5 linked regions of the Canis lupus familiaris genome follow. The protein of the gene in region 3 interacts with the protein of the main gene of each other region in a biochemical or structural test. Links are inferred from orthologs where the notes say so. Each region holds a gene or a part of one and is shown on either strand. Other genes may lie near its edges.

The links.
Region 1: the proteins of SPI1 (region 3) and MECP2 form a complex in vitro, tested with the Homo sapiens proteins (2 studies listed by BioGRID). The link is inferred for Canis lupus familiaris from reciprocal best matches to the Homo sapiens genes SPI1 and MECP2.
Region 2: the proteins of SPI1 (region 3) and IRF4 are reported together in a solved structure, tested with the Homo sapiens proteins (2 studies listed by BioGRID, with this or other methods). The link is inferred for Canis lupus familiaris from reciprocal best matches to the Homo sapiens genes SPI1 and IRF4.
Region 4: the proteins of SPI1 (region 3) and IRF1 form a complex in vitro, tested with the Homo sapiens proteins (2 studies listed by BioGRID). The link is inferred for Canis lupus familiaris from reciprocal best matches to the Homo sapiens genes SPI1 and IRF1.
Region 5: the proteins of SPI1 (region 3) and IRF8 form a complex in vitro, tested with the Homo sapiens proteins (3 studies listed by BioGRID). The link is inferred for Canis lupus familiaris from reciprocal best matches to the Homo sapiens genes SPI1 and IRF8.

Annotation. Positions count from the first base shown.
Region 1 is NC_049260.1:123,059,703-123,066,044, forward strand, and holds MECP2 (methyl-CpG-binding protein 2), read right to left. Parts: upstream 3,860-6,342; 5' UTR 3,607-3,859; coding exon 3,509-3,606; intron 1,920-3,508; coding exon 836-1,919; 3' UTR 703-835; downstream 1-702. UniProt on the Homo sapiens protein: Chromosomal protein that binds to methylated DNA. It can bind specifically to a single methyl-CpG pair. It is not influenced by sequences flanking the methyl-CpGs.
Region 2 is NC_049256.1:2,066,437-2,072,057, reverse strand, and holds the end of IRF4 (interferon regulatory factor 4), read right to left. Parts: intron 4,664-5,621; coding exon 4,551-4,663; intron 2,586-4,550; coding exon 2,442-2,585; 3' UTR 1,246-2,441; downstream 1-1,245. UniProt on the Homo sapiens protein: Transcriptional activator. Binds to the interferon-stimulated response element (ISRE) of the MHC class I promoter. Binds the immunoglobulin lambda light chain enhancer, together with PU.1.
Region 3 is NC_049239.1:42,677,503-42,683,700, forward strand, and holds the start of SPI1 (transcription factor PU.1), read left to right. Parts: upstream 1-2,222; 5' UTR 2,223-2,446; coding exon 2,447-2,491; intron 2,492-5,148; coding exon 5,149-5,248; intron 5,249-6,198. UniProt on the Homo sapiens protein: Pioneer transcription factor, which controls hematopoietic cell fate by decompacting stem cell heterochromatin and allowing other transcription factors to enter otherwise inaccessible genomic sites.
Region 4 is NC_049232.1:20,771,744-20,777,873, forward strand, and holds the start of IRF1 (interferon regulatory factor 1), read right to left. Parts: upstream 3,732-6,130; 5' UTR 3,575-3,731; intron 2,541-3,574; 5' UTR 2,536-2,540; coding exon 2,449-2,535; intron 1,178-2,448; coding exon 1,078-1,177; intron 239-1,077; coding exon 62-238; intron 1-61. UniProt on the Homo sapiens protein: Transcriptional regulator which displays a remarkable functional diversity in the regulation of cellular responses.
Region 5 is NC_049226.1:67,306,463-67,312,628, forward strand, and holds the start of IRF8 (interferon regulatory factor 8), read right to left. Parts: upstream 3,595-6,166; 5' UTR 3,539-3,594; intron 38-3,538; 5' UTR 37-37; coding exon 1-36. UniProt on the Homo sapiens protein: Transcription factor that specifically binds to the upstream regulatory region of type I interferon (IFN) and IFN-inducible MHC class I genes (the interferon consensus sequence (ICS)). Can both act as a transcriptional activator or repressor.

The sequences.
Region 1 (6,342 bases), on a different chromosome or scaffold from region 3:
TACGCCTTGTCCCGTTGCTTCCACGGCCTCTCTCTCTCTCTCTCTCTCTCTCTCTCTCTCTCGCCACCCACTGGAGAACGGCCCTCGGCCATCCTCTCCTCTGGCTCAGGCCAGTCTACACCCAGCAGCTCAAAGGACTGACTCCCTCCTAGCCATGCCAGAACTGGAGTGAACAGGTACTACTTCCCTGTCCTGTGAAATGTCCTAGTCAGTTTTGGATTGGGGCTGGCGTGGGGCCAGATTTGTGCCACCATGGGTGAGATCACACAGGCTGTAGCCACTGGCCATCTCTGTCTTTTTCTCTAAAGAATCCAACTGTCTCTCCTGCCTCACACCTCCTTGTCCCAATGTGGGTAGGGATGGGGAAGGTGGAGGAGCTGGGGGGATGGGGGTGGGGCAGGGCGGGAGGAGAGGAGAGCTGAGACTGGGAGTGTCCTCTCAACCACTCTCTGTCCCTAATGAGCACATGGGGGGTGGGGGGAGGTCTGGGTGGGAGGGGAGGTGCAGGCATACCCTAAGAAGCCTGGTCAACAGCTTGTCTGGTCAGTAGTATCTGCAGCAAGCCTTGTTGAAGGAGCCTAGTTTAGAAAAGTGCAAAGCTACTTCTGGCCCTGGTTAGGTCTTCAACCTGACTGTGCTTGTCGGTAAGAAAAACATCCCAATGCTCCAACTACTCCCACCCTGAAGCCACGAAACTCTAAGTTTACTGAAAGAAAAAAAAATATTTTTTATTTCAGTTAATCGGGAAGCTTTGTCAGAGCCCTACCCATAAGGAGAAGAGACAACAGCTGCCTTTATTCTTGTTGGTTTGCTTTGCAATCCGCTCTGTGTAAAGTCAGCTAACTCTCTCGGTCACGGGCGTCCGGCTGTCCACAGGCTCCTCTCTGTTTGGCCTTGGCATGGAGGATGAAACAATGTCTTTGCGCTCTCCCTCCCCTCGGTGTTTGTACTTGTCTGCGGCCGTGGCGGCGGTCGCGACCGTGGGCTGAGTCTTAGCTGGCTCCTTGGGGCAGCCGTCGCTCTCCAGCGAGCCTCCTCTCGCCATCTTCTCCTCTTTGCAGACGCCGCTGCTCAAGTCCTGGGGCTCAGGGGGGCTGGCGGGGTCCTCGGAGCTCTGGGGCTCAGGTGGGGGAGGGGGCGGGGGCGGAAGCAGCGGCGCGGGTGCCTTCGGGGGCTCTGAGTGGTGGTGATGGTGGTGGTGCTCCTTCTTGGGGGGTGAGGAGGCGCTGCTGCTGCGCCCCTTCGGGCTGCTCTCCTTGCTTTTCCGTCCGGGGCTCTTGCAGGTCTTCAGTCCCTTTCCACTCTTCTCGCCGAGGGTGGACACCAGCAGGGGCTTCACCACCTCCTTCACCTCAATGCTGACCGTCTCCCGAGTCTTGCGCTTCTTGATGGGGAGCACAGTCTCCTGCACGGACCGGATGGAAGACTCCTTCACGGCTTTCTTTTTGGCCTCTGCGGCGGCAGCTGCCACCACACTGCCTGGCTTTCGGCCCCGCTTCTTGGGAATGGCCTGGGGGTCAGCCTCGGCTTTTCGCTTCCGGCCTGGGCGTTTGATAACCATGACCTGGGCTGACGTGGTGGCCCCGCCCCCTTCAGCCTTGCTCCCGGGCGAAGCTTGAAAAGGCATCTTGACGAGCAGCTTCCCGGGACTTTTCTCCAGGACCCTTTTCACCTGCACACCCTCTGATGTTGCTGCCTTGGGTCTCGCAGTGCCGCTCCCTTTGGGGCGTCCCCGACCTCTGCCAGTTCCTGGAGCTTTGGGAGATTTGGGCTTCTTAGGTGGTTTCTGCTCTCGCCGGGAGGGGCTCCCTCTCCCAGTTACCGTGAAGTCAAAATCATTAGGGTCCAGGGAGGTGTCGCCTACCTTTTCGAAGTACGCAATCAACTCCACTTTAGAGCGAAAGGCTTTTCCCTGGGGACTGTGGGAACAAATGGAGAGACACAAAGAACGATTAGAAGCTTCCCCGCTAATGTACAAAGATGGGGCAGGAAGAATGTGCTGAATTCTGTGACAGGACGTTCTGCAATTGACCTGCCTGATGATACTATTCAATGAGAGTCACATTAGAGAAAAGCCAAAATGGGCTGAAATTAGAGGGGCATGGTCACACACAAAGCAACTGGGTTGCTGGGCGGCGGAGAGCACCCACAGGGTGTGCTCCAGTGACAAGAACAGCTGGGTGTCAGCTGCTCTGCAGCTATTGCCCCTGAGGATCCGCCTACCACCAAGGCCCCTCCTCTGGCTCCCAAAGGGGCCTGGCCTGGAGACCCGCTTGAGCCAGAAGGCTGAGGGGCAGGCATTCTGCTGGTTGGTGCCTGGGCCCAGTCAGTAAGTAAAGCACTCCTCTCTGTCTGAACCTGGGCATGCTGCTTAGCCTCTCTGGGATCGGTTTCCTCATCTGTCAGTAGGATAATGCTTTTTGTTCACCCTTCTCAGAGTTGTTGCGATCAAATGAGGATGTCTGCAAATAAACTGTTTATCTTTTCTGGATCATCTAAGGGCCAGAACTGAAATGTATTTATTCAGTCCTTCTCTGAAGCTCTGGCTTGGGAATTACACTGTTTCTTTTTTTTTTTTTTTTTTTTTTTTTTTTTTAAATTTTTATTTATTTATGATAGTCACACAGAGAGAGAGAGAGAGGCAGAGACATAGGCAGAGGGAGAAGCAGGCTCCATGCACTGAGAGCCCAACGTGGGATTCGATCCCGGGTCTCCAAGATCGCGCCCTCTGCCAAAGGCAGGCGCCAAACCGCTGCGCCACCCAGGGATCCCTGAATTACACTGTTTCAATAGAAAATGCCCAATGACCAGCTCAAAGCTGGACAAATGCACCAATGACAGTTGGAAAGGCACATGAAGAGACACCAATGTGTCCCCAGAGGCCCTGTCAGAGAGCTCACCTTTCCCAACATGATTCAGAGAGTAGACTGAGCCCTCTGAACTCCTACTTCTTCTGGGTCATGCAGCCAAGTCACGGAATGACTGACAGAAAGAAGAGTTGTTTAACAGGTTCTGAGAAGAGCCCATCAGCTGGATGTTTCCCAGCTGGGAAATGAGAGGAACCCAGAGAGCCCTGCTTGCCTTCCAAGCACAGGCCACTACACATGGCAGGTCCTGTGGCCTCTGGGACCAGCCTGGGCAGGGCCTTGTGTCCTCAATGTTTCTCAGGCGACCTCTCTTTCTTGTGTCCTCACTGTGGCCCTGGGTAGGCCCTACTGCGATGCCATCTCCAGACAAGACCTCAAGGGCTGGTGGGGTAAAGTCACACTCAGGGCGGTGAACTCTGTACACAGTCATTTGAAACATACCTGGAGGGGTCTGCAAGTGGTGTTCATTATTGAAGCCACCCCCAGCCCAAGATGGGTGATATACACACATTTTCCTGATCATCGAGTAAAAAAAGAGCTGCCACTCTAAGGGATCCCCATTAGTTTCTCAGCACCTGGCCCCAGCCTCCTGCCCACCCAGCCTTCCCTGCTTTGTAGAGACAGGAGTTGCCCTTACTTACTTGATCAAATACACATCATACTTCCCAGCGGAGCGGCCAGATTTCCTTTGTTTAAGCTTTCGGGTCCAACCTTCAGGCAGAGTGGGGTCGTCATACATGGGTCCCCGGTCACGAATGATAGAGCGTCGCTGTTTGGGGGAGGCAGAAGCTTCCGGGACAGCTGGGGCTGAGCCTGACCCTTCTGAGGTCTCCGCTTTGCCTGCCTCTGCTGGTTCAGCAGAGTGGTGAGCCGGTGGCTGCAGGGGCTCATGCTTGCCCTCTTTGTCTTCTTTCTTCTCTTTCTTCACCTTTTTAAATTTCAGGGGTTTGTCCTTGAGGCCCTGGAGATCCTGGTCTTCTGACTTTTCTTCCCTGAAGTGTTAAATAAGTATGTAAGTATCACAGGGAACACACCGATTTGTAGAAAAAGTAAGCAATGGCGGGTTTGGGGCACCCCAGCACAGGCAGGGCTCTGAGAGACAGGGCTGCCCCACCGATGCTCACCCAGATCCTGATGCCTTTCTCCTTCAAAGATTTCTTTGGGGGCTTTGGGCTTTACCCTACCTGCACTGTGACCACTCTGAGTCCTTCTGTCCCAAGTCCCACTCCTAACAAGCAGGAGAATGAGCGGCATTTTTCTGGGTAGAAACACTAGGTGGCTTCTCAGTGTACTGCCTCGGAAGAGGCCACTTTACAAGCTGTGCCCAACAGTCTCTAGACTTCATGGCTGACAAGAGGCCCTTGACTACTGGAGAGGGAGCTGCCCACCCAAAATGTGGCCAGGGCTCCTCTTCACGAAAGACCTGGCTTGGGTGTTAGTATAGCTTCTGTATTGTAAGTTTTCTCAAATGTGTGCTTGATAAAACAGTCAGGGAGCACGATGCAACTTACTGATGGTGGCAGAGCCTAGCACTACCCCCTTGGGAGATAAGGCACAGCACAGTGCTGTGGAGAAAACACACAGGTTTGGAGCCAGCCCAACCTGAGCTCAAATTCTGACTTGGCAACTTCTAAACATGGACCTGAGCAAGTGACCTCAACATTCCGTGCCTTAGTTTCCTCATCTTGGTAATAGGCACCAACACCCCAGAGGAAGAAAAGTCACAAAAGCACCATATAAACACTAGCCAACTCGGGCAACCAGAAACTGCTGCCCAGGGTTCTGGAGTGAGGAGAAGGCACCCCAGGTCTGCTAAACTTTTATTATCAGACATTCCTTTACAAGCCATGACTGCCTTACACTCAACCAGTAGAAGGGGAGAGCAAGGACAAAGGCACAGAAGAGCACCCTCCCCACTCCAGGGTGGGCACCTCCTTATGCTTTCACACTGACAGAGCAGCTCCTTCCTGCTATTTTGGCTCCACCTGGTAGGGTCCCTTCCTTGTGTGCACTGGAAAGGCCCTGGACCCTGGAATCAGTCCGCCCGTGGTGTTCTTAAAGCAGGGCTAAGAGGGCAGGAACACCACCCACGCTGGGGAGGCTTGGAACCAGCCATCTGCTGGTCTCTCAGCAATTCAGTCTAGAAGAGAATGAGACTATTCCTGCCCTTGATATCTAAGCCCTAGAGCTGCCCTGTCCCATGTGGCTCGTGTCAGCACTGGTCACTGCCTCATGGCCAGTCTACCCCAAGCAACCCCCTTGTTCACACTGTGGAGACTCCAATGGAGGCACTGTGGTATGTACTGGAAACCAGACTCAAATGATGTCAGTAAGCTGCCAAAGGTGGGTTAGTATCAGGACTCTTGGCACCATGAGAACATGCCTTTTCTGAACAGCTCAGGTCAGGGGTTGGGAGACAGGCTTGTCCCTGAGTTCCTCCCTATCCTGGGTCATCCTTTAGCAGCTCAGGACTCTAAAGCATGGCTGCCATGGTGACCCTGATTTAGCCCACGGCCCACAGGAGATCTTCTCTTGCTGTAAAGTGAGGGTCTCTAATCTGTTGCAGCACAGAGCTTAGTTTTCAATTATCACAGTCTTATTAGCCTTTCAGCAGGAATTGAGGAAGAATCCTGAGAAGCTTGGTGTGGCCTATAGCCTGTAGTCCCCCAACACAGAGGGGAGAAGGGGAGCTTGCCAGCAGCAGAGTGGCAGATGAACTGGAATGACCACTCCCACACAGTCCACGGGCCACCGCTGAAGGCCAGGGCTACTCCCTGGAACCTGGATAGTCCTGGAGTCGGCAGACAACACTGCACCCATGGGAAAGGTTTGGTTTCTCCAGAACACTCATTTATATTCCCCAAATAGTTTAACCATCCATGAGGTCAAGTACAAACCACATATCCCAGGAATGCCTCTTAGATACAATCAAGGGTGTCGATGCCATCAAGGTCAATCCCTTCTAGAACTCTACCCTAAAAAGACACACCCCCAGAAATGCCAAACAGTTAAGTCTATGATATTATTTGTTAACGGCATCATTTTTCCTGACCCAGTACTGCATACAACTCATAGAGCTACCAACAAAGACGTACTGAATGGACGATGCCATGCCTATAGCATGGAGAGCCATGCAGCCTGAGAGGGCTGAGAAGGAGCACCTCTGGATCTCCTACAGATCACAGGATGCCTTTCACGTGAGAAACAAGGGAAGAAGTACTTCCTAGTCCCAGGATGGGTGGGAACGAGCTAAGGTATAGGCGCAAGGCAAGACCTCTCTGAATCATATAAAAGTTTACATAACCAAAATGAGAAAGTAAACAGTACCAAAACCCTACTGTATTGAATGCAAACACAAACAAACTGAACCATGTATCAAACTGATACCACACCAAAGAGAAAATTTATTTCAAATACCTCTGACCACACTGCTCTGCATATCCTTGGTGGGACATATTTTAAGGCCTGATATGGC
Region 2 (5,621 bases), on a different chromosome or scaffold from region 3:
CATTTTCCAGGAAATGTAACTCCAGTGTTAAAGTAGCTTAATATCAAAAAAAAAAAAAAAAAAAAAAAGAAAAAGAAAAGAAAAGAAAAAGAAAAAAGAAAAGAAAAAAGAATGCGCAACAGCGTAGAAATAAGCTTCTGTTTGGAGAATTCAGAAGACACAGCACCCCTGGGATTGACACCAGGGAACTTCTCTGAAGTGCTGGCGTGGGTTAAATATTCTCCAGGGAGGAGGGGCCGCATACACTGGGGCCTGTGTCACAGCAATTCCTAATTTTGCCTTCAATTTCCCCTTAGGATAATATACCCTAAAACACTTTGCATCTATAAGATGTATAAATTACTGCAATTCACAAAATATAATCCGCTGTCCACACGCATTCACTCCTAGCGGCTGGTGAAATTCCTCGCTCGGCCTGCACGGCCTGCACGGGTGGGGTTCTGCAAGGACAAGGCCTCGGGAAAGGGTGAGGTAAATGCATCCTTAGGTTGAAAGAGCAGCTGCATTAAAGTGGCTGCAAGATGATCCTAGGAGGTGGTTCGTTTTGTTTTTTTTCTGAGTTGATGTAAACCTACAGAGAAGTGAAGCGTATTGGAAGAATAAGTGAAACTCTTCTTGCAGATATCTCAAGGGAGGAATTTGGGCTGGCGAAAAGGAGGACGATGTGCTCCTTTTTTTTTTTTTTTTTTTTTTTTGGCCTGTGTATACTGTTTCCATTTCCTGTAGTTAATATGTATCATGTTACCATTAAAAAGTCCTTGGGCCGCCCGGGTGGCTCAGTCAGTTGAGCATCTGCCTTCGGCTCAGGTCGTGACCCCGGGGTCCTGGGATCGAGCCCCACGTCAGGCTCCTTGCTCAGCAGGGAGCCTGCTTCTCCCGCTCCCTCTGTCCCCCTCTCCCCGTTCTCTCTAAGTAAATAAATAAAATTCTTTTTAAAAATCCTCCTTTTTAAAGGTTAAAAAAACGTCATTCCAATTGTTTCATTGCTTACCAAATTGGATAAAGGCCATAGATAATCTGTCTAATGTAAGGGGCACAGCTTGTTGAATGATTTGGAAATACAGGCTGGAATAAGAGAGGCATATATTTGAGAACTATTAAGTCTTTTGCTGAGCCTGAAAGTAAGAGCAGTTTTTCGTAGTATAATAAAAATATCAGTTGCCAGCATCAGTCTAAACATCTGTGCTTTTCCAAAACAATCAACAAGGAAGTGACCAGGTTCACTTAAGCAAGTAGAGATCTTGGTGATTCTATAAAAAGATTTATTTGGAAAAAGCCCAGTAAAAGCCCTGTCAAACCATATTGGCATGAGGAAGCACATAATATACAAAATAAGCAAAAACAGCCCACTGAGTCTGCAGTTACGCAATCAGTGAAATCCTGTCATCATCTTTCCTAACAGAGTTCAACAAATTGAAAAGCATCGGCTCCTCCTCTTTAGTGTTGTCATGGATAACTAACTGATAGCCAAACAAAACAAACAGGGTAAGAGGGGGAAATGTCACCGAGTTTCAAAAATATATCTTCAGTACTTGGATTGTTACCCTTTTCTTCTTTTTTAAAAATATAGCTCTAGCCATGATTTCTATTCTATAGAGAATAGAATATAGAGAATAGAGAGAATAGAGAGACAAAAAACAAAACAAAAACTATCTCAAGTACCCATTGCCAGACTGTAGGCCTTACTAAACACACTAATCAAGGGTAGCCCTAATGCTTTTTTTTAACCTATTTCCAGAAAATACCAATTGGTTCTCAGGGGCGCCCGAGGAGAGAGAGCAAACGGAGGGGGGTGTGGTTAGACAAGGCAGGGAAGCCGTGGGGCCAGGCCCGGGCCCGGGCGCAGCGGGTTAATGAGCCAGCCTGAGGCTGGAGGCACCGTGGTCCAGTCCCAGCCAAAGATTCTCTAACAGCAAGCATTGTCTACAAGAGCGACATCTTCTATGGGCATTAACATGTTCCTTTTGTGGGCAGAGTCACCTCAAATTTAGACATTAGTTCCCTGAGTAATAGTACGACACTCGTGTGCTTCTATCCCTCCAGTTAGTGGTCGACACTGAAACACAAGTTTTCTCCGTTTTCAAGCAACAGATAATCCACATCAAATTAAAGAGAGCATTTAAGTCAATGTAAACACATCCTTTGGTCAACGTTCACAGTGATCCTCAAAGGCGGCAGTCTACGGGAGACCCTGCAAACCGCGTTTCCTTAGGAATAAGCTCGCTTAGACGGAGCCGGGGTGGTTTTGGGTTTTTTTGGGGTTTTTTTGTTTGTTTGTTTGTTTGTTTGTTTGTTTGTTTTTACGCTCATTCTTGCCGAGATTCTCCTCAAGGGCTGAAGTCCCAATCGCCAGCTTTCTCAAAAGGAAAAGAGGGAGTTCGGTCAGCTGTCCCTGGGAACGTCGGGTATCTACGGTGGCACGACGCCCCTCGGCGGCCCTCTCATTCTTGAATGGAGGAGTGGCGAATAGACCTGTGGTAGTCCTCGGGGCTGCCGATGTGCTCGGGCAGGTCGTAGCCCCGCAGGAAGTGTCCACTGTTTTGCTGAGCAAAATAGTACAGCTGTCTGGCGAGTAGAGGTTCGACCTTTAATAAGAGATTTTAAGAAGACGTTATTGAAACATGCTTTCGAGCGCCCTGCGACTGGCTCGTCGTTACTGACTCCGTATTTCAGGGACGGCGGAGTCCGAGGTTGGCACCACCGGTCAACCGTGGCACTGTGGGAAGCCGTTCCTGCGGGCGCCCTCCCATGCCAGGCGACGAGCCCTACTGAGCTCTGAGTTTCGACTGCATTAACGTCAGGGATGGTGCTTTTCAATGATCAGCCGCTTAAAATTTACGTTTGGCTAAGCCTAAGCAAATCAGGGACATGACCAAACTAAAAGGCCGTTGAAGGTGACCAGTGAAGGTGGAGCTAACTCAGGATAATTAAGGCCAATGCATTTCTCCGCGACCACAGCTTGACGGGGACGCAGGTGCAAACCCTGAGCAATTTACAATTCCTGGACCACCTAGATAATCCACAGATTTCTAAGGGAAAGGAAGAAGAAAGGGGCAAAATCTATGCAAACAACAACACTGCTATTATGGGGAAAGAGAGGCTAATTGAACCCAAATTCATCTAGTTTGGCTATTTGTGTGGTTCATAGTCACCAAAAAAAAAAAAAAAAAAAAAAAATTCAGCTTTCAGCATGTCCTTAATTTACAACATCTAAGAAAACAGAATACTTTGTTAATCAATTCCACTATTAAATTGAGCCTTTATGTTATTTGATATATAGAAACTTAAGCATAATTCATATGACATGCCTGAAATAAATTAAATCCATAATAAAAAGGAGTAGAACTCGTGGTGTACACCAATCCATCTTTCTTTTCCACCCCAGACACCTAGATTCCAGGGACCATTGCTTGAGGAACCCATCACTGCCTGATTCAGAGGATGCCTGGTGCACCCAGAACACCCTTAAAATCTGGCGGGTGCAGGAGTTTTTCACCAACTTTTGACATGTTATTTGTCAATACCAAGTTTATTTAGTTATTTAACAGTCCTGGGTGTTAACAAGATATTAATTATTGTATCAATTACTGGAGAGAATTCGTGAAAAAGCCCTAAAATCTACAAGACTATATATATATTTTTGTTGTTGTTGGTTGGTTGGTGGATTGGTTTTTGATTTTTCAAATCAAGAGGAGGAGGATTACGGGTTTACAATTAGTGTTTTATTTCAGTTTTTCAACAACAACAAAAAAACATTATCAGAACTACAATATGACCTGAATATTTATATTATTGAGTATGATCTCTTTTACCTTTTTGTCTGGGCCCATTAATGACTCTCAAAGGTAGGTAGCAATGTGAAGTTCTCAAATTCAAAACTCTTAGGTATTCAAAGCTCTGTTTTCTGTGGCAAATTTATTCCAAATGCTATCTCTATAAATCATTTTTTCTTTTCTATTTTATGAAAAAGGTGTTTACTTGCTGCAGTCGAACCTATTTCAAACTCTGCTAGAGAACACTGGTGGTCTGAGCTACTTAAATTCCTTGACAGAGTTAGCTTCCTCCAAATAACACATGGCCCTCGGTTTCCACCAGTTAAATAATGTCTAAAAATCCAGAAATAAAAGGGGATTTGGGAAACATTTGGGGGAACAGCAAAATACTTAAGTCAATGGACAGCTTCCCATCTGGAAAGAGCTTGTCCGTTGAGTGGAGGTCAGCTAGAAGGCATTTTAAAGGCAATATTAAATATGGAGAATATTAAGGGGACACTTTTACGACCAGTCCTTTTAAATCCTTATAAAACGGGAATAGGACACTGTCATGATGGGACAAAGAGGCCCACGGTGCAGGTTTGATGAGTAGACATCTAGGGCTGGGAAGAACTTGTGGGTCCCTGGACTCCCAGCACCATTCACTGGGCCATGCTTCCTCCCTTAGGATGTTCCCGTCACTTGACATATATTTGTATTTGAGAATTTTCTAAATGGGACCCTACCCCTGATGGAAAATAGGGAAACTCCATCATTTGAATGGGACTAAATACTTACGTGAGCAGTGATGAGCTTCCTTTGCCTCTGAGGATCTGGAAACTCTTCCCCGAAGCACAGAGTTACCTGGAATCTTGGCAGGGGACGGCCATGGTGAGCAAAAGCTTGCAGCTCTAGAGAACCCCACAAGAAAAAGACAGAAACAAATGACCCTGATCAGAAACGATCCTTGAACGTGCCGGGTTAAAACAGGAGGCAGAAGCTCACTGCTGATTTGGAAAACTGAAGGAGTGAGTATTCTTTATTTCTCTTAAGTGGGATTCCTAACCTCAGACCCCAATAGAGAATTCCATGTCCATGTCCATATGTGTGCTTTTCCCGAGACAGCTCTAGGTTTCACCTGATTCTTTATGGGAAACGTGCCCTGCAGATGAAGACTCTTGACTTATAGCCCTGGAGCCAGGGCAGTGCGAAGGGTGGGAGAAAGGAGTGAAGGCTGAAGGAAAAGGAAAAGCAATGTAGCTACATTGAGGCAAAAGAATAATTTATATAAAGGAGAAATTTCATTTAAAAAAAATCAAAATTGGGACGCCTGGGTGGGTCAAGGGTTGAGCATCTGCCTTCGGCCCAGGGCGTGACTCCAGGGTCCCAGGATCAAGTCCCACATTGGGCTCCCTGCAGGGATCCTGCTTCTCCCTCTGCCTGTGTCTCTGTGTCTTTCATGAATAAATAAATAAAATCCTTAAAAAAATATTTAAAAATAAATAAATAAATAAAAATGTTCTGATTATTTAAAAATGTCATCTCAAAACAGCTGAGCGCTTATAATCCGGTATCTGGGCCAGTCGGGACTTCTCCATGACTCAGGCGCCCCTGCAAATGCTTTCCTGTTATCTTGGGGACTGAGCACCAGCTCTGGGCAGCTGCCTCCTGCTTGGCGCGGAGCCTAAACTGTGGGACTTTGGGCTGACTTGTTGCCTGTCTCCTGCGAGAGACGTTGCTTTGGAAGGAGAAAGGGGGCAGCCCAGGTGGCTCAGCGGTTTAAGCGACGCCTTCAGCCCAGGGCGTGATCCTGGACACCCGGGATCGAGTCCCAAGTCGGGCTCCCTGCATGGAGCCTGCTTCTCCCTC
Region 3 (6,198 bases):
ACACTCCCTGCTTCCAACCAGCACAGGTTCTGCGTCTGTCCCTGGATGCACCCCAGTTTCCTTGGGCTGACACTCAAGGCTCTTTGCTTATCTTGTCTTGTTTCTTGCCAGAGGATGGGGCCTCACTGTTCCCTTGTTCTTTTCCATCTTCTTGCCTTTGCTCAGGCTGGTTCCTCAGCTGGATGTTCCCTTTTCCTGGCATGTTTTCCTACCTATGGACCTGACCGAATTAATTGTTCCCCAGTGCACTTAGCACCTCTCCCTTGTTCCCTCACCTCCTCAAAGACCATGCTATCTGTTTACATGTGTGTTTCCCTTGCAGGTCTGGGAACTCCCAGGGGCCCAGGACTGCCATATTCACATTTGTGCCCCCTTACCAGGCCCCGCACATAAAAAGTTAGTGATTTAAAAAATGAATTAATAGATAAATATGCATATAAACAAACCAAACCAAACCAAGATGGGAATGAATGAATGAATGAATGAATGAATGAAGACATCATGCAGGACCTGTACTTATGGAGTAAACCCACCCCACACACATGCAGTCAGCTAGGACATGGCCTTCTTGATGGGGAAGTGAGGAACAGGGATGAAACTGATGCCCAGTCAGCAGCCTCTCCCTTACTCTTGGGGAGGGGCCTTGGTCAGGTTCGTAGGGAGTCCTGAGGACTTGTGACCTTGACCCCTTGGAGAGTCCCAAGTACAGATTCAAAAAATCAGTGAAGATGGAAGTGAAATAGATCTAATAGTGAACCCAGACCTTGTGAATCCCTAGTCTCTGCTGCCAGTGAGGAAAGAAACTCTTGGGGGCCTGAGATTCCACTGACAAGAAGGAGGCAGGCTAGTCTTAGTGGGAAGAAGGTAGAAAATAAAGAGTTGGACTACACATGGGAAGAAACTGAATGCTCAAAAAATTCTTCTCCAGTGCAGTGGACTCACTGGGGATCAATGGATCAAAACTGTCTCTGTTCATCCTTCTGTCTTCCAGACTAGATCAGGAGGTCTCTGAAGGTAGGGATCTTGTCTGAAACTTCTATTTTCCCATCACTCGGCATAGAGCCTGGAGGTCAGTTAATATTGGCAGGATGCATAGGCAGATAGATGAATGGATGGATTGATGGATGGATGGATGCATGGATGGATGGGTGGATGGATGGTTGGGTCAATGGATAGGTGGTTGGATAAATGGATGAATGGATAGATGTGTGAATGCATGAATAAGTGGACAGATGGGTGGATGGATGAATAGGTAGATGAACAGATTGAGAGCTGCATATACAGTGGATAAACAGATGAAAATATAAGTGGATTAATAACAGATGGATGGGCTAATATATGAGCATTTCAATGGCTAGATGGACAAGTAAATAAACAGGTAAGTGGATGTATGGGATGGACCAGCAGATAAATGGATGGACAAATGCACAGCTAAATGAACTAATAAACGAATGTATGGTTGGCTTGATGGGTGAAAAGATGGATGGATCTTGGGTAGGAAAATGAATGGATGGGCCAACAAGAAAGGTTTTTAAACTAGGAAGACTAAATTGATATTCAGGTATTGGTAGGGGTGGGGAAACTGAGAAATCTGGGTTGGGAATAAAGCCCCTAGAGATTTGGAAGAAGTGGGGGTACTCAGAAAACTGGGAGGGAAGGTTGTAAGAACCCAGGAGCCTCCTCTGGTGGAAGGGAAGCTGGTATGAAGGAGCTCAGGGAGGGGGAAAGTAGCACTGTGCTGAGGACCCTGTCCTGGAGCCCAGCCCCAAGGCAGATAGAATATAAGAGCTGGAGACCCAGATTCCAGAAGAGCCAGGCCTGACACGCTGGTAGATCACACCACTCAGGCTGACCCCCAAAAGTGAAGGCCCCAAGAAGCCACCCCTACCAGTTTTGGCCCCAAGCAAGAGACTGTTGGCCACATGGGAATCTCAAAAGCAGTGGGTATTAGTGGGGTTAGGAGTTAGGGGGCCTCAGCAGGGCCTGGGGGGCAGCACTGGCCTCCCTGCGGTCGAGCTAGCCTTCCTCCCTCCTCCTCTTTCTCCTCACCCCAGCCTCCAAGACCGCCCCTCACAGCTCCAGCTTCCTCTGGGCAGGGGGTCTGGCCCCCATGGTCTCTCAGGCCAGGCCCTGAAGCACCACCTGCCCCAGCCCAGCCTGAGACTTCCTGTAGCGCAAGAGATTTATGCAAACGGGCTGGGGCGGTGATGTCACCCCAAGGGGACTATCTCCCAGTGGCAGGCCCTTCGATAAAATCAGGAACTTGCGCTGGCCCTGCAATGTCAAGGGAGGGGGCTCACCCAGGGCTCCTGTAGCTCAGGGGGCAGGCCCGAGCCCTGCGCCCGCCCCGAGTTCGTCCAGCCCCCCGACGGGGCGCCCCATCCTGAGGGGCTCCGCACTGGCCCCCACCGAGGCGGGGGACCTGACCGGCTCGGAGCTCGGCTGGATGTTACAGGCGTGCAAAATGGAAGGGTTTCCCCTCGTCCCCCCTGTGAGTACCGGGGCTCCTCTGCGATCCTGACCCGCGGCCCGCAGCCGCCCGTCCGCCTGCCCAGCAGCCCAGCAGCCCAGCAGCCGGCCGGCTGCCCCCCGGCTCCCTATCTGTGGGAAGCTGGTGTTTCCTCCCTGGAGCTCCTGGCCCGAGACCCGGCAGGGGCCGTTGGCTTCTTCAGAGCAGGCCCTGGCGGCCGAGGGTGGGCCCACGGTGGGGCTGTGATCGGTGGGGCCTGAACGGTTATTTATAGATGGGGCTTGGGTGGCGGGTTGGTGGAGCTCCTGGGCAGGGTGCCGGGCTGGGGATGGTGAGGGCGGTGGCAGAGAGATGGCGGAGGAGGAGATGGGGAGCCTGGTGCGAGGGGAAGCCGGTCCCCAGAACAGTAGAGGCGTGAGGGCAGGAGGCCATAGGCCAGAGGTCTCTGGCCCGAGGCCTGGATGCTCCTGGAGACTGAGGCTGGTTTGTGTCTGGGTCTCCAGTGCCCGCTCTGGGGCCTGGCCCAGGGGACATGGCTGTTGACCCGGGGTCTGGGCCTCGGGCCGGCAGGTCCCCAGGGGCTGGGCGGCAGCGGGGAGTGGAGCGGAGACTGGGACGGCTGTTGGGTTGGGGCACTGGCCAGGGAGCAGGGAGACCAGGCAGGTGCTGGAGCGGGCCGTCTGGGGTAGGACCCAGCAGAGCGGAGGCTGCAGTGAGGGCAGGGGCTGAGGGTGGGACAGGGCTGGGACTGGAGGTGAGGCGGCAGGAGTCCCAGGGGACCCCTGGAGGGGAAGGGCAGCAGGCGGGGGCCGGTCCCCACTGCTCGTGCCCTCCATGACAGTTGCAGCCTTGGGCAGGTGCAGACCTGGGCCCCACAGGGGGGACCCCTCTCTCTTTCCCACCCTGTGCCCGCTCAGCAGGGCCCAGGGCCGGGGAGCCCTGGGGGAGCCGGGAAGGGCTTGGCAGGGCCTGCCCACCTGACTCAGCTTTCCCGGACCAGAGGCAGCTCCCTGCCCCCGCCTCACCCCAGCCAGGCCTCAGAGCCCCGGGAGGCACCCCAGCCCTGACATCCTGCTGTTGGGCTGCGCTGTCTGGAAACCAGGGGCTGGGTTCCCGGCCTTCTTACTGGCCAGACACAGACAGCCAGCTGTAGCTGGCACCCAGCCCCAACCCCACTCCCCCATCCACCACCAAGAAGGTAGTGGAGGGCAGGCAGGGGGGAGACAGAGAGGGTCCCAGGAAGAGCCAGGTCTGCCTCAGGAAAACCACAGGTCCAGAAGCTTGACCACACTGTCTCTGACCCTTGACCTCTCAATCCCCCAATCTCCCCAAACACACCTGAGCAGGAGGCACATCTCCTTGGGTGGCTACACCAAACCCCTTAGGGGCTACTCTGCGTACTCCTGGGAAGGTGGGCTCCCAAGACATCTCAGCCTCCCACCCAAGCCCCAAGGGCTGGAGTAATTGTTGTGCAATCCCTGGGCACACACTGTGGGGGTGGAAGGAGGCCTGATGACTCTTGTGAAGAATGGGTGTGTGTGTCCCTGTGCCTGCACTAGTACAAGGAGGAGTGGGGGGGGGGGGAGGAAGAGGAGGGGGAGAGAAGAGGACAGGGAAGAGTGAGGGAGTGGAGGGGGGGAAAGGGAGAGGAGGACAGGGAGGAGTGAGGGAGTGAGGAGGGGGAGAGGGAAAGAGAAGAGCAGGGAGGAGTGAGGGGGAGGACGGTAAAGGGGAGAGCAGGGAGGAGAAAGGAGGTAGAGGAGGAGGAGGGGGAGGAGGGGGAGAGAGGAGGGGGAATGGGGAGAGGGGAGAAGGGGGATGGGGAGGAGTGGGGAGGAAGAATGAGGAGTGAGGGCAGGAGGGAGGAGAGGAGGAGAAGGGGTATCCCAGTGGGTGCGTCAGAGGGAGGAGGGAGGAGGGAGAGGGAGGGGGCCAGGGCTCTGGCTGGTCAGGCCCGCGTGGTGAACACTGAGGAGCCATGAGTGTGAGTGGCCACGGGTACCTAGGCCCGAGCACAGGCCGTGGGGACTGTGGCGGGAGGAGCAGCATGTACGCAATGACGATGGGTGTGCGGGCGGGATGTGAGTGACCACGATGGGCATGAGCTGGAGCCTGCTGTAAGGTGCCGGAAGGCAAGTGTGAGGATACCTGTGTAAACTCAAGTGGCTGCGTGTGCCTATGGTGTGAGTGTGCGATGGTGAGTGTGAATGCGAGGGGCCTGTAGAGCATGTGAAGGTAGACCATTGGGTGCTAGTTCATGTGTGGGGGTGTGGGTGTCACGGGGAGCGTCTGTGGTTTGGAGGTGTAGGTGTGTCAGCGTGATCATGAGAGAGTGCTTGTGCAAGGTGGGGCCCTGTGGGGGCCAGTGTGCATGTGTGGTTTGAGGAGCAGCTGTGCAGGGGGGAGGGGGAGGCCTGGGGGCCTCCTCTCAGCCCAGGTCCTCTTTTGACCTCTGACCTTTGGAGTCCGGTCAGCCCCTTTCTGCAGCAGCAAGACTCCAGTCCTCCTAGGTCCCCTGTCCCCACCGCGGTCTCCCCAGGTTCCAGGCGGGAAGGGGGCCTGGTGCTGTGCCCAGGGGCAGGGTGGGGGAGGTGGTGGTGGTGGCCGCGGCGCACCAGGGCTGCCACCCGTCCCAGCTGTCCCGCTGCCATCCGAGCCCTGACAGCCTGGTCTCTCAGCAGCCATCGGAAGACCTGGTTCCCTATGACACAGACCTGTACCAGCGCCAAACGCACGAATACTACCCCTATCTCAGCAGTGATGGAGAGAGCCACAGCGGTGAGTACGCGGCCCTCGGCGCCCCACACCCCCGCCCGCACTGATTGAGCATCTTCGTTGTGCCAGGGCCCGAGGTTAGCTCCGTCCACATTTATCTTCTCGTCCAGTCCTTGTGGCTTTTCACAAACGAGGAAGCGGAGGCTCAGGGAGCTAAGCGACTTGTATAAGGTCACGCTGCTGGTCGGTGGCACTCCGTCTGTCTGCTCCAGGTCCGACTTTTTCCTCTCCTGCTCCCCCAAGCCCCCAATTCTTCCTCTCTGGTGCCGTCACCCCCTTACTGTACGGTTCACGCTAGTGTAGCCCCTGCTCCCTGCTGTGTTCTCAACCTCCATGGACATGTGGGGCTGGAGCATTTCTTTGTTGGGGGGCCTGCCCTGTACAGTGTAGGATATCTGGCAGTGTCCCTGGCTTCTACCCATTAGACGCCAGAAGTACCGCCAGTCTCCACAACCAGAAAGGTCTCCACACATTGCCAAACGTGTCCTGGGGGACAGAATCAGCCCTAAGAACTGCTCACTAAGGGAAAGGCTCAGAGGGCCTCCTCATCTAGCTGAGGTGGGAGCGAGGATGGAGTATGAGCCAGGGGTTCCTTCCGTGAGTCTCACTGCTCATCCCAAGGCCCAGCCTCCACCCTGGAGCAAATTCAGGATAGACAGGGACAAGCATTGGGTGCCTGGAACCTGGGCAGGGCACCCTGACAGGCCACCCAAAGTGGATCTTGCTATAGTGACAGGACGCCCCTGAGCCCAAGTGAGAAGGCCTAGTAATAGGCCTTCCTTGGAGGGTTCTCCTGGAGTGCTGAAATCTGGGCACGCCACACACTGGGGTGTCTGCAGCCCCAGAGAGAGAGGCAGGCTGGAAGCAGAAGGTTTCTCACGGCGAGGCCACACCTGGGGCCCGGCCACACCTGTAGCTCCATTCTTCAGGCACATGGACAGCCTGCCACAGAG
Region 4 (6,130 bases), on a different chromosome or scaffold from region 3:
CCCCGCTGCCCTTCTTCTTCCCTCCCTTTGAGCTTCCCAAGGATCCAGAGCCCTTGGATACCTTTTCTCTGGTTCTTGGTGAGGGGTGGGAGCATCCGGTACACCCGCACAGCTGAGCTGCCTTTGTTCCTGCTCTGGTCCTTCACTTCCTCAATATCTGGCAGGGAGTTCATGGCACAGCGAAAGTTGGCCTTCCATGTCTTAGGATCTGGCTCCTTTTCCCCGGCTTTGTATCGACCTAGTCGGCAGAAGAGTGAAGAGGACTATAAGGACCAGAGGTGGGAATCCTTAGCTGCTGTCTGGCCTGGGAGGAGGAAGGCAAGAGTACCCCTAAGCTCTCATGCTGCCAGAGATCCACACTAGCCAAACAGACGGTATTCCTGGGTGACCCTCTACAAGCCCTGGGGCTTCTCAAATGCCCATGCTTGACTCAGACACATCCAGCAGACCTTTCTGAAGGGCCCAGCCAGAAGCACTAGAGGGCCTGTATGTCTTCACGGGCTGTACTGGTGCTGGACCAGAACCAGTCTCCCTGCTTGGGCTGTTAGCAGCCAGAGATTAAATAAAGACTAGGGTTTATCTGATGTTTCCAAACACAGCAGTGGACAAAGAGGAGGCATCAAAGAACAGTTACTGATAGGTGTGCTGTCTGATCTGAGATGGACCAAGAGCTCCAGACCTCAAGGATAAAAAGAGGCTGCCAACCAGATGGGCCTTGGGCCAGGACCTTGGTAAACATCAAGAAAATCAAAGACTTGGGTCTTTCAGTATCCAGGCTCACAACTGCTTTTGCCCCAAGGAGCTTTAATCCAGCTACAAACTCCCTGAAATCACACTTTCTAAGACGCTGATTTCACAGGTTCCTTTAAGAACTTGCTGAAGACGCTGATTTCACAGGTTCCTTTAAGAACTTGCTGAAATGATGGAACTTTTCCCCAGAAATACAAATCTGCCCCCTGCTCACCCCCAAATTTTGTACACAATCTCAAGGAACCCGATGAAGAGCCTCTGTGTTAATAGAAGTGATTCCTCTAGTCTTCTCCTTGGCCCTCCAGGGCTGGAGACCAGGGCACACACCTGTGTGAATAGCCCAGCTCCGGAACAGACAGGCATCCTTGTTGATGTCCCAGCCATGCTTGGCAGCATGCTTCCATGGAATCTGGAAAATCATCTCCTCCTGAATGGCACACACACACATATATACAAGGCTGTGTCAGCTCAGAAGCCACAGGGTTTTAGCAGGAGCCTGCCCAGCCCCGCCGCGCCCCCCCCCCCCCCCCCCAGTCTGAGAAAAAGCTGACTTCCCCTTTTCACCCTGACATCTGGCTTGAGTTGACCCATCCTGAGAATGGCTTAAACAGACTACTCTATCATTCTAGATCTCTCAGAAGGGGCTCTGGGTTCTGAAGAGCTATGGCAGTATCAGCTCACCAAAGCTCTCCCTCTGCCTGTTACAGGTGTGCTGGGACCCATAAGGAGCACCTTGGGATGCTCTCTGGCTTTTCAGCACCAACGCAGAAGTGAAAACTCCATCCATTAAATGGGGATGCTTAGGACAATTGGGACCACTGGCTCCTACACAGGGAGGGAGCCCTGGGCCAGTCTTGGATGCTGACTACCTGTGTGACACTGGCACTGTCCCTATACCTCCTGGTCCCTCATTGGTTTCTCTTCTGTGAAATGAGAAATCACAGTGACAAATATAAAGACTAAGTCTCACTGTTATCATTACTGGTGGTTAACACTTTGGATTTCTGAGTTTGATTGCTCAGGTTCAAATCTTGACTTGATCACTTTTTGTGTCATCTCATTATCTACTTCTCAGTGCCTCAGTTTTCCTTATCTGAAAATGGAGCTATTAACAGGATCTACTTCACAGGGCTACTGTGAGGATTAAATGACACAACGTAAGTAACAGACGTAGCACAGTAATCACACTTGCTCATAGGGAGTGGACAGTAAGCATTATTATGAATATTGTTATTACTACTATGTCTGCAGGGTTTGTGCACCAGCATGAGGTTTCTTGAGCCTGGGCCAGCAGTGCAAGGTTAATTCTCAGGTCCCTTGCTCCTCCAGCCATCTTCTCACCACTAGGTGCTCATTTCTCTGCCTCCTGGCTGTTTGGAACCCTGTAGGATGCTGTATGTTTGCAGGAGTCTCTCGTAAAAGAGACCAGAACTCTGGCTCTGCAGATGCGGGGAGAGTCTTGCTGATGCAAACTGTCAGTGCCCTCAGGTGAGTGCCCTGTCCATATCAAGGAAGGGAAGAAGGCAGAGCGGCCCAAGGCTGGGCCCTTGCATACTGCCTGCAGGCAGGACCCACTGGGAAACAAACACATCTGCCTCCTCCTCATCACTTCCGTTTTTGAGCTGCATCTGAAGCTTCGGTCCCCTCAAAGAACATGTGTTAAAATAGTGGCATAAAAACCCAGAAGGTGACACTCACTTTATTAATCCAGATCAGCCCTGGGATTTGGTTGGAATTAATCTGCATCTCTAGCCAGGGTCTCATGCGCATCCGAGTGATGGGCATGTTGGCTGTGAAGAGAAAACAGACGCTCCTGTTTGGAGTCTGCAGAGCAGCCCCTTAGGCACTACCCTGCCTGCAACCCCCACCTCCACCCCCCCACCGCAGCCCAAGGTCATTCAGTTAACTCTCCCCTGCCCTCCACCAGGTACCAAGTAGTATAATCATGGGAAAGAAGGCTTTCACCAGAACAAAACTGTTCTCCAAATATTTTCAGCATCATGGGCAAAAACAATTAAGCCCCTTCCCTCACGATCCTCTAAACACTCTGGGGAGGAGACAGGCGTGCAAGTGATAGTTTCAGGATTTATGTGCAGAAGAAACAGACAAAATACACAGATATTTTAATGCCAGAACTTTCCTCCCCAAATTCAAATCCTTTGGTAAGGGACAGGCTTCTTTTGGTTGATGCCCATAAATCCCCCTACTTGAGTTGCCGCCGCTACCACTAGCTAGCCGTGCACTGGTGGCAAGCAACCACCCTGCACTCTACCGGGACCCTGCACCCCCCAGTCTGTTCTATGCTGCTCCCAGACCAGGTACCCCTCCCGGTCTGGCTCCCGTCCTCCGCGAAGTAGCCGAAGGAACACCTGTGGCGCCTCTTCGCATGCGTAGCCTCAGCAGGTCCACCGGCCTTTCAGGCAGCAAGTCCCCCCCCTCCCCGCCCCAACACCTGCACGTACAGCCCGAAACCTGAGGCCTGGGCGCGGAGCTGGGGGCGCCGAGTCTCCCGCACCGCTAACGGATGCGCGCGGCAGGTCTACCGAGCGGCGCAGAGGCCCGGGGGCTCCGCGCACACAGATCCGCGACCCGGCCGGGCGCCGGCAGGCTCGGCAGGCTCGGCTCGTGGGCGGTCCACGCCGCGCGGCCCGCCCTCCCCGCCGCGGCTCGCCGCTCCGCCAGCGCCCTCCGGAGCCCGCGCGGGGGCCCCCGCGACGCCGCGCGCCCGCGACTCTCCCGGCCGGGGGTCGGCCCCGCTTCCCGGAGCCCCGCGCGCCTTTGTTCGACGCCACCGACCGCCCCCCCGCGGCGAAGGCGGACTCACCTCCGCAGCGGCCGCGATCCACCCGCGGCGCCCGAGGGTCCCGGTCGGCTGGCGCGGCGGTGTCCTTGCGGCGAGCGCGATCCCGCAGGGAGCGGCGCGAAGGCAGAGGCTGCGCGGGTCGAGGGGCGGGGGGCACGGCTGGCCTTGGCTTGGCGCGGCTCCCTCGGCCTCGGCCCGGCCGGGCTCCGGCGCACGTCCTGCCTCGACGAAGGAGTGGCGCGCTCTGCCGGGGCAGCGGCGCCGGCGAGAAATCTAAACACTTAGCGGGATTCCCCCAACCCAGGCCCGGCCCCGCCTCCCGAGGAGCCGCGAGGGCGCCTATTGGTCGGTGCCGCCCCATCATTTCGGGGAAATCAGGCTGTTGTAGAGCTAGCGGCGAAGGGGAAGTACAGGGCGGCTGCTCCTCCCCACCCCCTCCGGCCGGCGCCGCCGCCCTGGGGCGACCGCGGGCCCGCCCCGTCCGCTCCCCCTCCCCCTGCCCCTGCCCTGCCCCTGCCCCTGCCCCCACCCCCGCGGCCCGGGGAAGGCTGTCCTGGAAAGCCGGACGCCCCCGGCCCGCACCCGCACCCGCAGCCACTCCCCTCGCTCCGCGTTCTCCGGGCCTGCTCTCAGCCTCCTCGCCGGGCGCGGGGGACGTCTGTCTTCCGAGCGCAGGTGAGCAGGTCACCCGGGCACCTGCTGTCCTCTTCAGAGCGGACAGCCCGGGATTGAAACCCCGTAAACGAGCCTGGCTCCTCAAACCTGCTAACGGGGTGCCAAGAAGGAAGCGTCTGGGCCCTCCTACTACTCGCTTCTGGAGGGGCGGCCGGCCCCCAGGACCCTCACCTGCCTTGGGGAAGTCCAGGAAAGCCTACTGCGCCTGGGGTGCTGACTGGGGCTGCGGGAGGGAGAGAGGAAATCCCAGTTTGGCCGCTGCAGGTGCAGCCTGGCACGGGACTGGGAACCTCAGTCTCCTCGACTGTAAAACAAGCAGCCCTAACTTGCTGGTTTACAGCTACCCAGAAACGATGTCTGTGAAGCACAGAGCCGCACTTGAGGACAGCAGGTGCTGTGTGGCTTTTGAGGTCCCTGCCCAGAGCCTAACAGCGACAGAGAGGCACCTCTCTGGGTGCCGCTTCTGGGTCTACATCCTTGGGGCTGCCATATACCTGACCTTAGGGAGAAGGAGAAGGGTTTCGGAGAAGCCCTGGCTACGGAGTTGGCTAGGGCTTGGGTACCCTTGCTCCCTAGCACTCCTGTCTTAGGCCACCTCCACAGCCTCACAGAGCCCTTACAGGGGTGCTCCTTAGCAGCAGCATTGGTGTTGCCTGTGGCCCTCGGCGCTTGGCCCAGAGAGGTTCTAGGCAGCATGGGGGAAGTTGCTTAGGGTCGGTCAAGACCATGGATGTGGACAAAGAATTAAGGAACCCAGGTCCCAGTCCCCTGGAAAGGGCAACCACTTAACTCTTGTGCCTTAAAGTAGACCTTGCCCCATTTGCACTCTCCTAAAGGCTGGGCTGAGTGTCCAGAACTCTGGCCTGGCATGTTCCTTCCTTCACCTCCCCAAAGCTGCTGACTCAGAAGTAAATTGCTCCTCTAGGCTGCGCTGGTTGTGTCACTCCCCTCACCCAGCTCTCCCTCCACAGCAGCACCCAGTTGCAATGGTACAGACTATAAATAGACACATTGATGCAGCATTCCACCTGTCAGTCACTCAGCTGCCTTCCTCCTACAGAGGAAATGGATGGGTTAATCCAATCCCCGTGCACCAGGATCTGATGCTGTGATTAACATGAAGCTTGGTTCCCAAGAGACCAACAAGAATGGGTCGGAGCTGTCTCCCAGAGAGTAGTGGGTGCAGTCCCTGAGAGAGAGGCCAAGAGACAGGAGGAACCACAAGGAATGAGCCTTAGCTGGCTAAGAAAAATGGAAGGTGCTGAGACCCAGGAAGGGGGAGAAGGGGTAGGGTGCTGTAAGTGACAGGTGGAGTGGACACCCACTACAGAAATCAAGACCTTCTGAGCAAGAAGAGCAGAAAGCAAGTGGCTCCTGAGTTGTGAAGTCTGTTTTCTGGGCAGCAAATGGATGCTTGTCTTGTCTTGAAGAACCTGATATAGGCACTGGAAAATTCAAAATGAGATCAGGGAAAGGAAGTTTGCATCTTATACGGTCTCAGAAATTGACCAAAATGACCCTTTTAAGACAATAGGAGTCTGTAAGAAGTGCTTTGACAAAAACTTTATTTTAATTCACAGATAATCATCTGCATCTGTATGTATATCTTTCATGCCATGAAATGTACTTCTATGATACATATTATTGGGTATATATTATTCTCTAATAAGGATAATTATTTACCCATTAATCTCCTATTAGGTTATTTCCATATTTTCTGAATACAAACAACACTGTGTAGCTGTATCTTGCCCATATCTTTTTTTTTAAATTTTATTTATTTATTCATGAGAGACACACAGAGAGGCAGAGACACAGACAGAGAGAGAAGCAGGCAGAGGGAGAAGCAGGCTCCATGCAGGGAGCCCGATGTGGGACTCGATCCGGGGTCCCCAGGATCAC
Region 5 (6,166 bases), on a different chromosome or scaffold from region 3:
CTGCCGAAGCCGCCGGCCACCGTTCCGGTCACACATCCTTGGAAAGAAAAAAACACGTTCTGTGAAATTACAAATATCGTCTCATTAATCATAGCACCCCATGTACTTGGGAGTCCAGAATTGCTGACAGCATGATTAGAGGGCTGCAACACAGGTGCTAGCCTAGGGGGAAATCCACAGACCCCAGGACCCTGAGCCACCTGCCGTGGGAAGAGCATGCTTCCCTGGGCCCTCTTAGTCCTGAAAACTGAGACTCTGCGGGGCATCTGCAGCTGCCCTGCACCATATACCCACCTGTCCTAAGGTTCTGGCTGGTTCTGCTTCCACCCTTCGCCCCTTGCTCCATTCCAGACAAACACAGCCATGTCTAAGAGCACCATTCCATTTTTAGCATGACGTGGGGAATAATCACTTTTACAGTTCCAGGTCCTTTAATAAGCAGCTCATCACTCTCAGAGCCAACTCTATCACTTGATGCCCAGTCTGACCCATGTCTATTGGCAAATACGACATCTGTGTGCTCCAAAAAAGGAGATCCTCAAAGATAGCCCTTCTAGATTATTCCCTCAAAGCTGGGTTAATGATAAGAGCAAGAGTTTGTGAATGAGACAGAGCTGGAGTCCCCTTGAGACCCACCATCTCCCAGCTGGGTGACCCTGAATCATGATTTAACCTTGGGAGTGCGAGCCAGGGGGACTGAAGCCCTAGAGTAACTATCAGTACTGGGCATCCTTGTGGTGAAGGTTCAGAGGATGCATATGAAGCACCTGAGGCCATGCCTGGACCTGAAAAGATTCTAACAGATGCTATTGCCCCAACTTTCTTGCTCAGGAACCCTTACAACCAATTGGAACAAAAAGGAAGATCAACGGGGGCCATAGGACAAAGCAAAGTCAGCTGGGCTAGACTCTTCCAGAAGGCACCAGGATTTGGGGACCTCACCAGGGTACCCAAAGACATCCTCTAAAAGAACACTGTTGCCAGAAGAGGCAGCTTTCCCAACAGCAAAGAGAAAAAGAATAATCATGCCGTATCGAATCACAGCCCACATTTACAAGAACAGGGGTGGAAATCCCCTAGACAGTTGGACAGACGCCCACCAAAAAAAAAAAAAGGCATTTCTATTCTTCTGATTAAAGTGTGACCTCTTTGGGCAAATAGGTGTGAAATAATCAGTATTGACAAGACATAATGTCCCCAAGAATACGGTCACATCCAGAGCCATGCTGGTCCATGAAGCAAGAAGTACAGGACTTGGAAACCAGCCTCCCTACAGGTGTGGGATTGGAAAGGGGGCCCAGGTCCTGGGGAGAAGGAGAGTCCCAAATGCCAAATGTGACTTTTCCATGCCCACAGGTGGGCGTAAATGGGGTGAAGCGGGGGGTGGAATAGGAATTGGACTTGGATTTGGAAAATGCAGACCCAGCAAAGGCTTTTCTCCAGCTAGGCCTTGGGAAAACCACCAGAACCTCTCTGAGGCTCTCCTCACCTGCAAACTGAATGCACCTCAAGCATCCCAGAATTCCAAAACAGCCCCTTGTGCTTATAAATGAAGTACAGATTTAGGAGGGCAGAGCCTGGGTGGCTCAGCCAGTTGAGTGTCTGCCTTTGGCTCAAGTCGTGATCCCAGGGTCCCGGGTGGATCTTCATGTTGGGCTCCCTGCTCAGTGGGGAGCCTGCTTCTCCCTCTCCTCCCTACTCATGCTCTGTCACTATCTCTGCCTCTCTCTCTCTCAAATAAATAAATAAAATCATAAAAAAAAAAAAAAAGATTTAGGAGGAACACCTGGTGAGAGAAAGGAAACATGCCCCAGAAGATAACCTAGCACAGTACTGATTCCTGCAGGCCTTCCTGGAGGAAAGACAGGAGAATCTCGCCTCCCTTGAGGAGTGAGCTGTGTGCAGGAGGAGGGTGAGAGGGGCCACAACAGAAGCGGTGGTGTCTGCGGATCTGTCAATTCAATGAAATGTGCCCACTTATTAGGACTTTATTCACCCTCTTAGCACGAGGTTTATAAACCAGAGTCCGCGCTCCGGGAGCCTCCTGAAAATAAAAAGCAAGATTTTGTTTGTATGGGCATTTTTCTAGAAAGTGGGTCAACACCTTCTTATCAAGATTTCTAAGGCACTCATGACCCCCAGAATTGTTAAGGACAACTGTCTTGGTGATTTATAAGGACAGGAAATGAGAACAGAGAGAGGGCATGGATAGGAAGAGTGAATCACAGAATAGGAAAACTGGACAATACTTTAGAAACCATCTAATCCAGCCGGCCTGCTCACAGGAGTTAACACTGAAGCCCAGAAGGGCACCCTGACCCCCAGGCACCCCAGCAGACTCTTATTTTGCTCGCTCTGCAGAGAAAAGCCAAGGTCACGTTACAAGATCTAAGCACATGGCCAGTCCCACCTGAATCTTCATGGAAAGCACCTCTAAGATTCTAAGTGGCAATACAAGCCTAAGATTCTAGCTCCATGACCCACAATGATTTAGTGAAGGCTAACCCATTAATCCCGTCAAATGTCAAGCCAGAAAAAAATTCATAAGCCTGGTCACATGTTTATAACTTCCTCTTCCTTGATTTTTAGATAATCATTCTCTTTAAGGGCCAAGTCCTATCTGGAGCTAATCTGCATCCCAATAAATGGGTCCCAGGAATCAGCTTCCCAGGCGGGAGGTGATAAAAAGCTGCCCTGCCCCCACCCAAGCCGGATTCCAGGATGTGCCTAGGAGGTGCAAGACTCACCACCCACACCTCTCAGGGCCCCGAGGTGGGGCGGGAGGTATTTGCCTGGTGGCAACACAGCCCCAAGTCCTCCACCCCTAAACCAAAAGCATCAAAGTTATTTGTCACTTTGGCCTTAGTCTTTCTGAAATGACTGAACCACTCTCAATTCTTTTCTTGGAAAAGCCTCCCATAATCTCAAAGGGCATGCTCAGAACCTTCATTTCAGGACCAGCTCCTAACTCGGGTTTAAAAAAAAAAAAAAAAAAAAAAAAAGTATGTTACATCCCCCTACAGGTTGAAAGGACAGTTTAAATTCTGGAACATTCAGCCTCCAGTCTCTCCATCCAGCAAGCACTCCACAGCCCTGGGGTAAGCAACATACCTCAAACGGGAAAGTCTCCCCTTTGCCTTGGGGCGCATTTTACGCCCAAATGCCTTTTAGCTGTGAGCCCTGCAGGGCTAGGGCTCTCTGGGCAGGGACCCCTGGGGTCGGATGGGTGCGGAGGGCGCCCCGCTGCGCAAGCTAGCTCACCACCCCGGTGGTCACTGGGCGCTTCCCAAGCGCTCCTCCGGGCAGCAGGACTTGGGCGGGACCGGAGGGCAGGTCTTGCAGTAAAGAGGTCGGTCCTCCCCCTCCTGAGAAAGGCCATCCTGGGGCTTCCACGCAAGCCAGACTTTTAAGAAAAATGGGATTTTGGAGGGGCAAGCATCAGCCGCCGGGGGGCCCGCCGCCCGCGCTCCGCGCCTGGCCTGCGGGCCTGGGCTCGGGAGGGAGAGCCGGGACCAGGAGGCCGGAGCCCGCCGCCTACCTGCCGCCGCGCGCCCAGCCCGCCGCCCGCCTTCGGCGCCGCCGCCCGGTTCCCACGCTCCCGCCGCCGCGCTCCGGGGATGCGGCGGTGGCTGGGGCGCCCGCGCGGGTCTAGGGCGGGGGCGGGCCCGGCGCGCCGAGCGGCGGCCGCGCGGGCCAATGGGCGCGGGAGACGCGCCGCGGCCGGCCAATCAGCGCGGGCGCCCCGCCAGCGCCCCCCAATGGGGGCGGACGGCCCGGCCGGCCTTCTTCGAAGCGCTCGTCTTTCCGAGAAATCAGTTTGCGCAGAGGCGGTGGCTGACGGTCCGGGTGTCCTTCCGGGGTCTGCGTCGGGGGTCCCGGGGGCGGCGCGGGGCGGGGGTGTCGGCAGAAATTCCCGAGGGGCCGCGGGGGCGTTCCTGCGGCGGAGCCCGCGGGCGGGGCGCGGCGTGCGAGTCCGATGGCGGAAGACGAGGTGCTGCCGGCCCGACGGCGGAGGGAGGTCGGGGTGCAGACCCCACACCCAGGGCTCCGGGTGGGTGGAGGTGGAGAGCGGTGGTAGTCACGGAGCGGGTGGGGGCCGAGGTCAGGGCTGCAGACGGCCTGGGGTCCCTGCACCGTGACCCCCAGCAGGCCCGGTCAGCGGTCAGGCCCTCCTCGGTGAGCGCGCCCCGAGTTCCTGGAGCTGCAGGGGAGGCATCCCCCCACCCCACACACCCCCACACCCGGAGGAGAGGAAGACCCTGGTCACGTGTGCAGACAGTGGCCAACTGTACACCTGCCGCGGCTCCTTACAGACCTGGTCCTAGGGCGCCAGTCACTGCCCACTGACCCCGAGTGTAGAGAAAAGAAAAGAACGAAAGAAAGAAAGCCCAGATGTTTAAAGAAAAGTATCTGAAGACCAGAGAAAAACAGGATTGTCCAGCATATTAGGGCCAGAATGTCCAATTAGGGAAATTTCCATCATAAATCCTGTTGTTCCCCAGAAAATGTCAATTGTGTTGTGTTGGGGGGGGGTGTCTTCTGTGTGTCTGCACCCAGTTTCCAGCCGCTCCTGGATGTTAACTGGCATTTCCTATTTATGGTGGAGTGGGGGCAGCAGGAGTGATGGAAATGACCAAGAAAACCCTGGCAACAAGGGAAAAAGACACGTTTCCCCACATTCAGGTCTAGGCACCCTTCTATAGAGAAGAGTCAGAATCTTCATTGACTTTTATTGCCTCTTTGGCCAATCATACACAAGCAGCAGTGTTTACTAAGCCATTAATTCATTAGACTTTTCAAGAACCTGTGAAAATGTTTGAGCCTGAAAAGGAAATTTTATTGGTCCCAAAATGCAAGAAGTACACTGCAAGCTTGAAATTTTTTTTAAGATTTTTATTTATTTATTCATGAGAAACACAGAGAGAGAGAGAGAGAGAGCATGGCAGAGACATAGGCAGAAGGAGAAGCAGGCTCCATGCAGGGAACCCGATGTGGGACTCGATCCTGGTACTCCAGGATCATGCCCTGGGCCAAAGGCAGGGGCCCAACCGATGAGACACCCAGGGTTCCCCTGCAAGCTTGAAATTAATAAATGTTTGAAGAAAAGTCCCCAAAATGTAACGTGCCAACTTCAAATTGTAATTTATTTACTGATAAACATTTCATTGTACTTGAAAACCACATGTAAGTTAGAAATCACTTGGTAAGAATTTCCTAATACCATGATTGCCAGGAAGTCATAGCAATCATAAATTAAATGAGTTCCCTGTCGCTAAATAATTTCAAATGAAAACTATTTTTTCAAAGCTCAAATTCTTTGAGAGTATTTAGATAACATGGGAGTATCTTGATATGTTTGTTATGATGTGGGACAAGCTTGCAGAACTCAGAAATTCTTTAAAGAGTCTGCGTGCGTGTTTATACTCATATCTTTTCAGAAATGTGCCCCTTCAGCCTGCCCAGGTTACTTACCTACCTGCCCACTACACAAAGACGTGTGCTCAAATTTCCACTCAGCGTTCCAGTTAGATCAAGAAAGGAGCACCCAAGTATAGAGAAGTCAGCCCTGGAACTGTCACAGCCCATATTACTGGCAGTAGGTGTCACTATATGCATTACAGGAGCTGTTCACCATACACCAGCTTGCACCACAGCTGCTCCTGAAACCCCCTACTTTCAACGTGGGGATTCTTCACTGCCTGGGAACAATTTCTAACCTTATCTGTTTAGTTCTGTTCTTATTTAATGAGGATTTATAGAGCAACTGCTATGGGCTAGATCCGATGCCAAGGACAGGAGACTCAAAAACCAAAAGTGTCTCTGATCATTCCTTCCTCTCCAGTGACCTGCCAGCACCTCGTAATCCGGGTACAGTTCACCTTCATCTCCACAGCAGCCTACGCCTCATCCTCCATACCACATCCCTGTGTGTCCTCCTCGCTGCCCCCCAGCCCCCCTCCCCCCGCTGCAGCCTCTCCCCCTACAAGGGTTTCCCTGTGGCTTCCCAGCACGTCCAGATGCTCATCCTGGCATCTGAAAACCACACCCTCCCAATCTGATGGATGGCAGCCTGCCACCGTGGTCAGAGCAGCACATTGCGAGGTGGGCCCTCAGTTCAGATCCACATTCCTGGCTCACCAAATGTGTGGCCTCGAGCAAATGACTT